3 linked regions of the Stegostoma tigrinum genome follow. The main gene of each other region encodes a partner of the protein of the gene in region 2 in a complex. Links are inferred from orthologs where the notes say so. Each region holds a gene or a part of one and is shown on either strand. Other genes may lie near its edges. The genes, in order: taf13, taf12 and kat2a.

Region 1 (3,753 bases), on a different chromosome or scaffold from region 2:
CCCCCACAAATATGCTGTATTTTTGTCCTGCAAATGATTGGCTTTTTCAGCTTTAATTTTAAACCAATCCCACTGTTCCCCATCACTTTCTTAACACAGCAATTCAACACCACTTCAAATCCCTACTTCCACATTCATTACTACATGTGCCTTCCCAGGGATTGGTTCATTATAATCCACGCTTTCATCCTTAATTTGAAAAATAAAAATGTTTTCAAAACTGGAAAACAGGGGAAAGGCAAGTAATATTCAGGGCATCATTCTGGATGGAACTATATGCATATGCAAGAAATGTGAAAATGGGACAAGTTTGTCACAAACTGTGAAAATATTAAAAATCAAGTCAATCTTGAAAACTCAACACAACTTGTTCACAGATAATAAAATGTGAGGCTGGATGAACACAGCAGGCCAAGCAGCATCTCAGGAGCACAAAAGCTGACGTTTCGGGCCTAGACCCTTCATCAGAGAGGGGGATGGGGGGAGGGAACTGGAATAAATAGGGAGAGAGGGGGAGGCGGACCGAAGATGGAGAGTAAAGAAGATAGGTGGAGAGGGTGTAGGTGGGGAGGTAGGGAGGGGATAGGTCAGTCCAGGGAAGACGGACAGGTCAAGGAGGTGGGATGAGGTTAGTAGGTAGCTGGGGGTGCGGCTTGGGGTGGGAGGAAGGGATGGGTGAGAGGAAGAACCGGTTAGGGAGGCAGAGACAGGTTGGACTGGTTTTGGGATGCAGTGGGTGGGAGGGAAGAGCTGGGCTGGTTGTGTGGTGCAGTGGGGGGAGGGGATGAACTGGGCTGGTTTAGGGATGCAGTGGGGGAAGGGGAGATTTTGAAACTGGTGAAGTCCACATTGATACCATATGGCTGCAGGGTTCCCAGGCGGAATATGAGTTGCTGTTCCTGCAACCTTCGGGTGGCATCATTGTGGCAGTGCAGGAGGCCCATGATGGACATGTCATCAAGAGAATGGGAGGGGGAGTGGAAATGGTTCGCGACTGGGAGGTGCAGTTGTTTGTGGCGAACTGAGCGGAGGTGTTCTGCAAAGCGGTCCCCAAGCCTCCGCTTGGTTTCCCCAATGTAGAGAAAGCCGCTCCTGAGATGCTGCTTGGCCTGCTGTGTTCATCCAGCCTCACATTTTATTATCTTGGAATCTCCAGCATCTGCAGTTCCCATTATCTCTCACAACTTGTTCACAGTCCAACCAGCCGCCAGCCTCTCTCAAAGCACAGCATGAATCAAGACATAACTGACATAATCATAGGATTGAGCCTCCTCCTCTGTATCCAAGTATAATTAATCCTAGAAATCAAGACCAAGCAAACTAATTCAACCTCCTGGCCATGACTGCTCCTAATGTAAGCAATGATACAAATCACTTGAATGTGTTCATGCATCCTCCTGAGAAATACATACTTGAAATGTACAAATTGAAGGTGGCTTCAGAAAATGTGTGAAATGCATATTTACATGTAACAATTTTATGAAATGTAAATAGAACAACGCAAGTTTGAATGTCAATTTTAACTACGTGACAAGAATAAATCAAATTTAAAAACCTGAGATTCTTCATGTACCTCCACATGTTACCCTCATAGCAGCTGCAGAGGATATAGATCTGTCACACATTTCCTGCTGGAATGTGCCTATTCAAAGGAAGTCTGGAGAAAGATGCAGTGATTTTTGTCGCGGTTTGTCCTGAGCAGCTCTGTGACACAGGACTCTGTGCTCTATGATCTGTTCCTAAGGATGCATGGACTGCACCTGGAGGATCATAAATTTGGTGAAAAACACTTTGGTCTGCCGGAAACTTGTTGGTCTTCCAGAAAAAGGAGTTGATCCTGACTGAGTGCTCCAGATAGGCATATTCCGAGGTACAGGTCTACATGCTGAGGGATGCACTAAAGCTTTGGGACAGCTGCCACCAAGGCATCGTTTAGGGTCTTTCTGCCAAAGTTAAATGGAGGTCTGTTCAACCATCAGACCCTCTCGATGCTTCAAATATATGTAAATGTGATCTTGATCAAGTAAGAAAGGCCTTTGGTTTGTTTGCTGGATAGAGTCAAACTTCCACGTTTGTTTGCTTTTTCATATGGTCTCTACAGAATTGAACTGCCATAGGAGCTGCAGGTGTATATAAAGATATTTTATAAATAAAGTATATTTTTTAAATAAATAAAACACAGACTGCAGTAGTTCAAGAAAGTGTTTGATAACCAGCTTCTCAAATCAATCAGGGGTGGGCAATAATGACACCCACGCTATGATTTTTTAAAAATCCACTATTATAACCCTAATTTCTCCACACCTCATACCTTTCACACAGCACATACTCTGTTACTCAAAACAAGTAACAAAAAAATGAAAAATGCCACGGAAGCTGGGAATCTGAAAGTTACAGAAACAGAAAACGTAAGAACAAAATACTGAAGAAACTCAGCAGGCCTAGCACACCTTGTTTTCTCAGATTCTCCAGCATCTGCAGTTCCTATCATCACAGAAAAGTAGGGTCGTTTGCAGCTCCCGATTTTTAATTGTTTTGCTGATTTCAGACTATGGCTGCTGAAATTAGCAAATAGCTCAGTGTCACCGTCATTCAGGGCGTTTCGTTGCTGCTGCTGGCGGCAAGAGACATCGATCCGAGCCGTGAACATGCTGAAAGAGAGTGAAGTTCAAGAGCCAGACTCACCGGCTGCTCGTCCTCCTCGTCCGCCATCTTACTCGGAGACAGATCTCAGTCCATTCAACCATACGTCACCAGCCCGCGCGCAAAGCCGAGCAACTGTTACGGATAATGTTGAGGGGTTTCCAGAGAGACGTCCGCGTCACCAGCCACACGTGGTGGGTGTGGAGCAGGAAAGCTGACGTTTCAGGCCTAAACCCTTAATCAGAAAAGGAGTTTTGGCGCGAAACATCATCTTTCCTGCCCATAAGATGCTTCTTGGCCTGCTGTGTTCATTCAGCTCCACACCTTGTTATCACGGATTCACCAGCATCTGGAGTCCCTATTATCATCTTTACCCGTATTTATTTTTAAAGTTTTCCTTAAGACAGATAAAATGGCACAGATGCCAAATCGAAAGACTTTGTTTAAATATAGAAGTACATTCAATCTCAAGCCATGTCTTGTTCAAAACCAAATAGAATGCTCAATCTATTTTAACATTATGTTTAATCCCTCATCCTGAATCACTTAGTTTCTTGAATGCAACTGGGTGCATTTCAGAGGGCAACAAAAAGTCAACCGCAGAATCAGAATTGTATTGGTACAGAAAAATGCTGTTTGGACTGTTGTTTGCACCAGCTCTTAAAATGGGCATCATGACTCATTTTTCTACACTTTCCACATCACCTGCATGTCGTTTCTTGACTGCCTCTATTGAACCTGTCTCTGCCATAGACGATGAACTCCCAACCTGAACTACACAGTAAGTTTTTTTTTCCATATTGTGTTTACTTCTTTTACAAATGATTTTAACTCTGTGCCCCTCATTCTTTGTCCTTTAGAGTGTTACTTTGAGATAGTGAGAACTACAGATGCTGGAGTCATAGATAACACAGTGTGAAGCTGGAGAAAGACAGTAGGCCAGACAGCATCAGTGGAGCAGGAAAGTTGATGTTTCAGGTCAGGAAATTTCTGAAGGAGGGTCCCAACCCAAAATATCAACTTTCCTGCACCTCTGCTGCTGCCTAGCCTGCTGTGTTCCTCTAGCTGCACATTGTGTTGTCTATTTCCATGTTACTCTGACCACATTGC
Region 2 (3,753 bases):
CATTACTAAGTAAGCACCATCCATTAGGACTTGAAGGACTGCTCCTTTGAGGTGCTGACAAGCTTAAACTGCAAGTTATCGGTTGCAAGTTCAGTACTAAGTTTTGCATCACAAAACAATAGTATGTACTTACTCTCATGTGTCACGAAAGAATCTCTTATCTTAGATGTAATGTAAGCAGCTGTTAATAACGGTGTAATAAACAAGCTCTTTTTATCAAGACTGTCTAATCTCTTCTGCCAAAGACTAATTGTGAGCTACCTTCCTGCCTTGGACCGTGTGTGTCTTAGATGAAGGAGTATTGGTGGCAGTGAATATATACTCAAACATACTGGTGGACACATCAAAGCATATACCACTGTCTACCCTCTCAAGTGGATACGAAAGATCCCACAGCTACTGCAATGAAGAAGGGAGGCAGTGGCCTCGTGGTGTTTTTGCTGGACTGTTTATCCAGAGATCCAGGTAATGTTCTGGGGACCCAAGTTTGAATGCTGCCACAGCAAGTGGTGGAATTTGAAGCCAACAAAAAATCTGGAGTTATCATTCATTGTCGAATGTTGGAAAAATCAATCTGCTTCACTGATGTCCTTTACAGAAGGAAGCTACCATCCTGACCTGGGCTGGTCTACATGTGACTCCAGACCCAAAGCAATGTGACTGTTTACTGCCCTCTGGGCAGTTAGAGACGGACAATAAATGCTGGCCTAGCTAGCAGCATCCTCTCCCCATTAATGTGCTTACCCCCTCCCCCTGGCCAATATGTTATTCAAAAGAATCACAGATGTGTAGAAGGGGGCCCTTTGGCCCGTCCTACTTGCACTAGCCCTTCACAACCGTCATTAGCTAGTGTCAAATCTCCGCCCTTCTCCCCCAGACCCTTGTACGCTATTCTGATCAACATAAACCATCCAAGGCCCTCTTAAACGCCTCAGACTAGAGAGGCAGTCTATTTATAGCGTTTGGGACATGAAGGGCGACATAGAAATGTAGTTCTTTCCTCGCCCATCCAAATGGGACTGGGGCCGTTGCCTAGTCGATGCTCCAGGGGTTGATTGACAGCTCGCAGGGTTGCCTGGCAACAGCCCCCAACAACTGGCCCTAACAACAGCACCCACTTAACCGCCAACCGTCAGCACGCGAGATCTTCGGAAGTCGTGCGCGTGCGCATTCCCTCGTGGAAGACAACTGGAAATAAAAGCATCCGAGGGTCGAAAAATCTCGTAGCGAATTATTTTACGAACTATCGCGCTGATGTGTTTTTTTGAAGTTTGTTTGTGTTTTCTTTTTGTGTTGGGTCGGTACCTGAAGGTAAGGGGTCAGGGGTCAGGGCTCAGAGCTGATTGTTTCCGGGTTCCCTATGAGCGGCCGCTGCTGAGTGCTCGTTATGACGGGGGCGCGGCTCGGAGGGCGCCGGTGCTGAGGCGGCGCGGCTGCCTGCCTGGGTGAGTGATCGATCCACTCGGCTTCACCGTGCTTCGTTCCTGGGAGGAGGAGGAGGAGGAGGAGGAGGAGGAGGAGGAAGAAGGGGCGGGGAAGCGGGATATTTACATCCAGTTTGTATAGAGGATCCTATAGCTGCGGCCTACACAGGCCCGGACAGACACCGAGACACACACACACACACACACACACACACACACACACACACACACACATCCCCGTTACACTCTCACACAGGCTCAGGCAGAGAGAGATAGGCACACACTCACAGGCCCAGGCAGACAGAGAGGGAGACACTCACACATGCCCCAGTTACACACTTACACAGGCCCAGGCAGAGAGAGAGAGAGACAGACAGACAGACACTCGCACATGCCTTGGTTACTCTCACACAGGCCCAAGCAGAGGGAAGGAGAGAGAGAGACACACTCACACACCCCAGTTACACACACACACAGGCCCAGGCAGACAGAGAGAGAGAGACACTCACATATGCCCTGGTTACACTCTCTCACAGACCCAGGCAGAGAGAGAGAGAGAGACACTCACGCATGCCCCAGTTACACACTTACACAGGCCCAAGCAGAGAGAGAGGGCCCGGTTACTCACTCTCACGGGCCCAGGCAGAGACAGACACTCTCACGTGTCCCGGAGACACTCACGCAGGCCCAGGCAGACAGAGAGAGAGGCGCGTGCACACTCAAACCGGGAAACAGGGACAGCAGAATCTTTGGTCTCCCACTGAGGTCGAAAGGGACAGAACGAAATCGGTCAGCATTGTCCCAGACAGGCACATACAGACTTGCTCTGTCTAGAGAGGGAATGAGAGAGGAGTTCCTGATCTGTCCCTCAGGCGTTGAGTGGGACAGAGAGAAAAAAGATAGGGTCTGTGCTGCTTCTGTTTTCTTGCAGACACAGAGGATCGCTGAAGTCCGGAGAGAGAGGAGACCCCTTGCCTGGTCTAACTCACTGGCCCAGAGAGAAATGAGATCCACGCAGACCCTGTACAGTCTCTAACTCTCACATTCTGTCTTTCATAGACATACTTACTCTCGGACACCAATTTTCAGACAGGTACATGGATAAGGGATCAGAGAGGCAGCAATGGGACTGAACAGCCCCTGGTTTATACACAGACTCAGAGCCTGCAGAGAGAGAGAAGCCCCTGGTGTGTGTGTGTGTCTCTCTCTCACGTGCAGGCCCCAAGAGTGAGAAATAGTCTGCATTGTCCCCGATCTCTTGCTCAGAGTCTCTCATTAACTCAGTCATTGGCCTAGGGAGGGATGGAGAGAAAAGCAGGATCCATCGTGCAGCTGGATTCACTTTGATTTTTTTCAGACTTTCCCTATGCCTCCGTTGCATGCATAGGCCTGGAGAGAGAGGGGGGGTGGAAAAAAGTGTCTTTTCTGTCCCTGGTTTCTTATTTGCGCACGGTCTCTCACACAGAAACACACTATAAAACAAATTGATGGAGAAACTCAGCAGATCTTGCAGCATCTGTAGGGAGAAAACAGTTAGGTTTGAGTCCAATGACCCTTCTCCAGAGAGAGAAGTGCAGTTTGCACTGCCTTGTTTACACTTGTTCAACTCATTCCATGTGTGCACAATCTCTCACTGGTACACACTCACACCTGCCCAGAGAGAGAGAGAGAGAGAGAGAACCTGAGTTTGCGCTGCCCTCAGTTATACACTGTATTCTTATGTAGGCCCATAGTTTATAAAATCACAAAGGGCTTGGATAGGGTGAATAGTGAAGGTCTTTTTCCAAGGGTAGGGGAGTCCAAAACTGGAGGGAATAGGTTTAAGGCAAAAGATATAAACGGGACCAAAGGGGTAACATTTTCACACAGCGGGTGGTGCAAATGTGGAAATGAGCTGCCAAAGTAGTGAGTTAGTGTTTAAAAGGCAACTGGATGGGTATATGAACAGGAAAGGTTAGAGGGATGTGACCCAAATGCAGGGCAAATGGGACTAGATTAATTTAAGATATCTGGTCAGCATGGATGAGTTGAACCAAAGGGTCTGTTGCCATACTGTACAACTGTGACTCCATAGCTGTTTCCCAGGCCCAAAGAGAGAGGGAAGTAGAGTGTGCTCTGCCTCTTCACTCGCTATCTCTCACATAGGCTCTTGCCTGCACATAAATTACGCCCGTTAACAATTCAAAATAAACAAATGCTGAATACTCAAATGATTATAAAGTACCACTTGAACTCGGTAAAATGCACTGAGAGCTTCATGGTTCACCATGGTTAGGTAAACAATTAAGCATTTTTTGGATGAAATCTTGTGTGTCAAATGCTGCTACCT
Region 3 (3,753 bases), on a different chromosome or scaffold from region 2:
AAAAAGCAAATAAACCAATTGAATGTTTCTCAGTAGCCAACAAACTGAGAAGCTGCAGTACAAATAAGCACCACAGTCTTTAGTTTCAATCAGGGAATTCATGTAGAGGGGCTTCCCCTTAATTTTAAAGCCAACTGCTCAACAACATCTCAATACTAGAAATGGTTTCTTAAGACTATTCATACATTATTAGTAACTACTATGAACATATTTCAAAGGTGAAATTCTTCTCAGAATTTAAGGTTGTAATTCTGAGAGTAAAGCTCTTGCAATGTCTAATGTTTCAGAGCTGAATTTTCCTATGCCTTCGGACATACACAGCTATTTCCTCTAGATTTGGGTTCAGGTGATTGATGCGATAAAAACACACTACTAACTGTTTAAGTACAAGTGGAAAGAGTATCACCTTCGCACTTGAAGCTACTCGATCAAACCATATATATTGTACACAATAAATGTTACAGAACTTAAAGTAATAATTCAATATAAAAGTACTATTTTTGTTCAGGTTTACTCGGCAGATGTGATTAATAGTTCACAAAGACAATAAGGAGTTTAGTAGGCGTATTCATCACAGCTGACCAGGGTAAATCCATTCTGCACACGCAGTTTTTTTCAAAATGCAAGTAAAGGGCAGTGATTGTGTCTTTTTTTCAACAGAAATATAGTTAAAACAAACGTGTCGCATATCAGGGCTTTAGGGTACAACTATTTCCAGAAAGAAAACAAAATGCAGACGCTGAAATCAGAAACAAAAACCGAAATTGCTGGAAAAATTCAGGTCTGGTAGCATCAAGTCCAGTTCTGAAGAAGGGTCACTGCGTCTCTCAACTGCCCTACTAATTTGGATCAATGTCAATCCTTTGAACTTGTCAAATCACAAGTTCATAGAGACTTGTTTTTAAATTTTGGTTCATGACCATTTTCGTTGTCTTCAAAAAGAAAATCCGATATGATCTCCCAAGCCTTTCTTCAATACATTAGGGCATATTACCATCTCCTATACTTTTTTCCTGTTCCAGGTCTCTCTCTGATCACTCTCATTCCATTCCTCACTGGCTCTCTTGCTGATCAGCTCTGCTCCCTTCTCAAGCCAATTGTGGGTGCTCACATTCTGGTTCACCTTTAGGATATTCTTAGACTGCTCTTATAAAATTCTGCTAAACACTTTCATTTCCATTATTCTTCCACTAAATTTTTCAGTGGCCCTGTTTCACTCAAAAGAACAGTAAGATAGAAGCAATGTTATTGTACCAGGAATCCAGAAACTTGGACTAACGCAGTGGTGATACAATTTCAAATGCCACCATAGCAACTGGGGGAAATTTAACATCTCATTAATAATGCTCATGAAGCTGCTCTCTAGATCACTCTGGCCTTTCCTTACCCATTTTGTTCACACTTAACTCCAAATCCACAGTAATGTAAAAGGTCACAAACATGAAGTGGTACCTGTTTTTCTCTCCAAAGATGCTGGCTGACCTGCCAGGATTCACAGCACTTTCTGTTTTTAACTCCTCTCTGTTTACTCATGCAAGGTTAAATTTGACAGCATTTGCCCCTCAGTCATTTTTCAAAATTCACATGGATCCATCACCCCCAAGCTCCTTGGTTTTATTTAACAGTAGATGCACTCTGCTTTTCCAACCGTCATTGTACTCTTGTCCCAAACTATTTAAGGAACTCTATTACATTGGTTTTCTTACTACAGAGTCTTAAAGTCTCAACTGCCCATTATATCCCTACCTCACTTTTTGCAAATTCCTCCTCCCATTACTTCTACTCCATACGGTACTCTCAAAGCGGACACTTGAAGCATTTAACTAAACAGTGTGATTTATGAGTTTAGAAGAGTGCGATTTGATTGCTTCAGAAGTGTTATTTATTAGAAGTTAAAAATTGAAAGGTACAGTATTTCTAAGGTGCTTTGTCGGTGCTTTGTCTATTCAACAAGGGGCGTTGCAGTGACTGAAAGACTCTGGACCATATCGCTACGTTAACATCAATTTGCACTCCTGTCAATTTTCGGATAGCAGCCCGACAGATTATCCACAACTCTCAGTTTGGGTTGTCCTAGACAATGTGTGTGCAGAGTTATTGATGACAAGGCAGAAGGGGTATGCAGGAAAAATGAGGTGCTTTTCATTCTAAACATTTCAATTCCAGAAAAGATCGTGTGCTGCCCAGTTTGGCGCTGAGAGAGAGAAAAAGTGACCCGGTCTCACCCTGAGAGAGTCAGGCGGGGATTGTGACCCTGCTCGGGGAGCCCCCGGTCACCTCCCTCAGTCGCCCTGCCCTTACCTTGCAGGCTGAGAAGACGCCGAGTTTCTCCAGCTTCTTGGCCCGGGGGAAAGCGCGAACCTGGGCCTTGCGCTGAACCGAGCGCTGCTGATTGCTGCTAGCGCCGGGACGGGCCGGATCGGCCGGGCTCGAAGTAGCGGGAGAAGGCGAGGCCGCAGCCTGGAGCTGGGCCTGGCACGGGGTCGGATAGGGCGCTTGAGCCCGGGCCTGCGACGTTTGGGATGCCTCCGCCATCACCTACGAGAATGCCCCACCACCACTCCCCGCCCTCTCTTCACCCGCTGCCATGGCAACCAGCCAGGCCGGCATTGCGCAGGCGCGACACGGGATGCACCCTGGGAACTGTAGTCCACTTTCTCACAAAAATTACCATAAAAATAAAATTAGTCTAGCATATATCAAATCGAAATATATATAGGAAGGTCTTCATAGGGGGATCTGGGTGAAAAATAATAACTTTACATGTAAACCCAGACGAGGCATCATGGGAGTTGTAGTTTTTGCTGCCGCGTTGTTATGTAAACGCATGCGCATCGTTATCATTTGGAGCCGATACTGTTGAAGCTTCAATGAGACCGTGAGGTGTTTAGATTGAAAATCATGAGGGCTAAGGTGAGTGGAGGTGTGTGGGTTAGTAAAAATCGATAAAATATCTTAATTCACAAGAAATTAAAAACGAGAGTAAGTGGTTATTATTTTGTGTAGAAGGTGTTCTTTCCTTTTATTCCCCCGTCGTGTCTGTGTGGGAGGCCGCGACCATGCCGTTAGGGGGTGGGGCTAGGCCTTTGGCGCTTCTGCCGTCACTTTTATATTCGGTAATGAGGATGTAACTAAATCATCACATATTTGGGGGAAAGAGGGATATTTAAAGGATTAATGCCACGAAGGAGGACAGTGATTCATGCCTTAATACTGATGCTGGCATCTTGAATGTAAAGGGTAAATCAAATTTGGACTTCTCATTGAGTCTTCTGAGAGATGTTTCTTGATATCATCAGCCTTTTCCCCATGGCCCTTGATTCCGTCACGGATTAGAAATCTATCTCAGCCTTGAATATCTGTAATGACCTACCCTTCTGTTGTAAAGAATTCCACAGATGCATTGCCCTTTTGAGAGAAAAATATCCAACCAATCTTGTCTTCAATGGGTGACCCAGTTACTCTGAGACTATATGATTATGGTCCTAGATTATCCCACAAGGTCAAACAACCATTCTACAGCTACCATGTCAAGTCTGATAAGAATCTTATATGTTACACTAAGATTTAACAAATGTTGTTGGGTATGACCATTCTCCTTTTTCCTCCTTGTGTTCATTGGTGGGCGATGCTTGCGGTTGTAGAGATTATTCTCTTGGTTGGCCCCCCCCATCTGCTCAACACAGAAACACTAGATGTTAGACTTAAAGAATGAACTGTTGTCATTAAAACATTCAGTTGAAATTGTGTGTA

What was found.
Region 1: taf12 (region 2) and taf13 share a complex: the UniProt entries of both Homo sapiens proteins name them as parts of the TFIID basal transcription factor complex. The link is inferred for Stegostoma tigrinum from reciprocal best matches to the Homo sapiens genes TAF12 and TAF13.
Region 3: taf12 (region 2) and kat2a share a complex: the UniProt entries of both Homo sapiens proteins name them as parts of the STAGA transcription coactivator-HAT complex. The link is inferred for Stegostoma tigrinum from reciprocal best matches to the Homo sapiens genes TAF12 and KAT2A.

Annotation. Positions count from the first base shown.
Region 1 is NC_081365.1:35,350,388-35,354,140, forward strand, and holds the start of taf13 (transcription initiation factor TFIID subunit 13), read right to left. Parts: upstream 2,818-3,753; 5' UTR 2,713-2,817; coding exon 2,686-2,712; intron 1-2,685. UniProt on the Homo sapiens protein: The TFIID basal transcription factor complex plays a major role in the initiation of RNA polymerase II (Pol II)-dependent transcription.
Region 2 is NC_081377.1:40,948,643-40,952,395, forward strand, and holds the start of taf12 (transcription initiation factor TFIID subunit 12), read left to right. Parts: upstream 1-1,331; 5' UTR 1,332-1,445; intron 1,446-3,753. UniProt on the Homo sapiens protein: The TFIID basal transcription factor complex plays a major role in the initiation of RNA polymerase II (Pol II)-dependent transcription.
Region 3 is NC_081384.1:13,605,231-13,608,983, forward strand, and holds the start of kat2a (histone acetyltransferase KAT2A), read right to left. Parts: upstream 2,586-3,753; 5' UTR 2,536-2,585; coding exon 2,302-2,535; intron 1-2,301. UniProt on the Homo sapiens protein: Protein lysine acyltransferase that can act as a acetyltransferase, glutaryltransferase, succinyltransferase or malonyltransferase, depending on the context.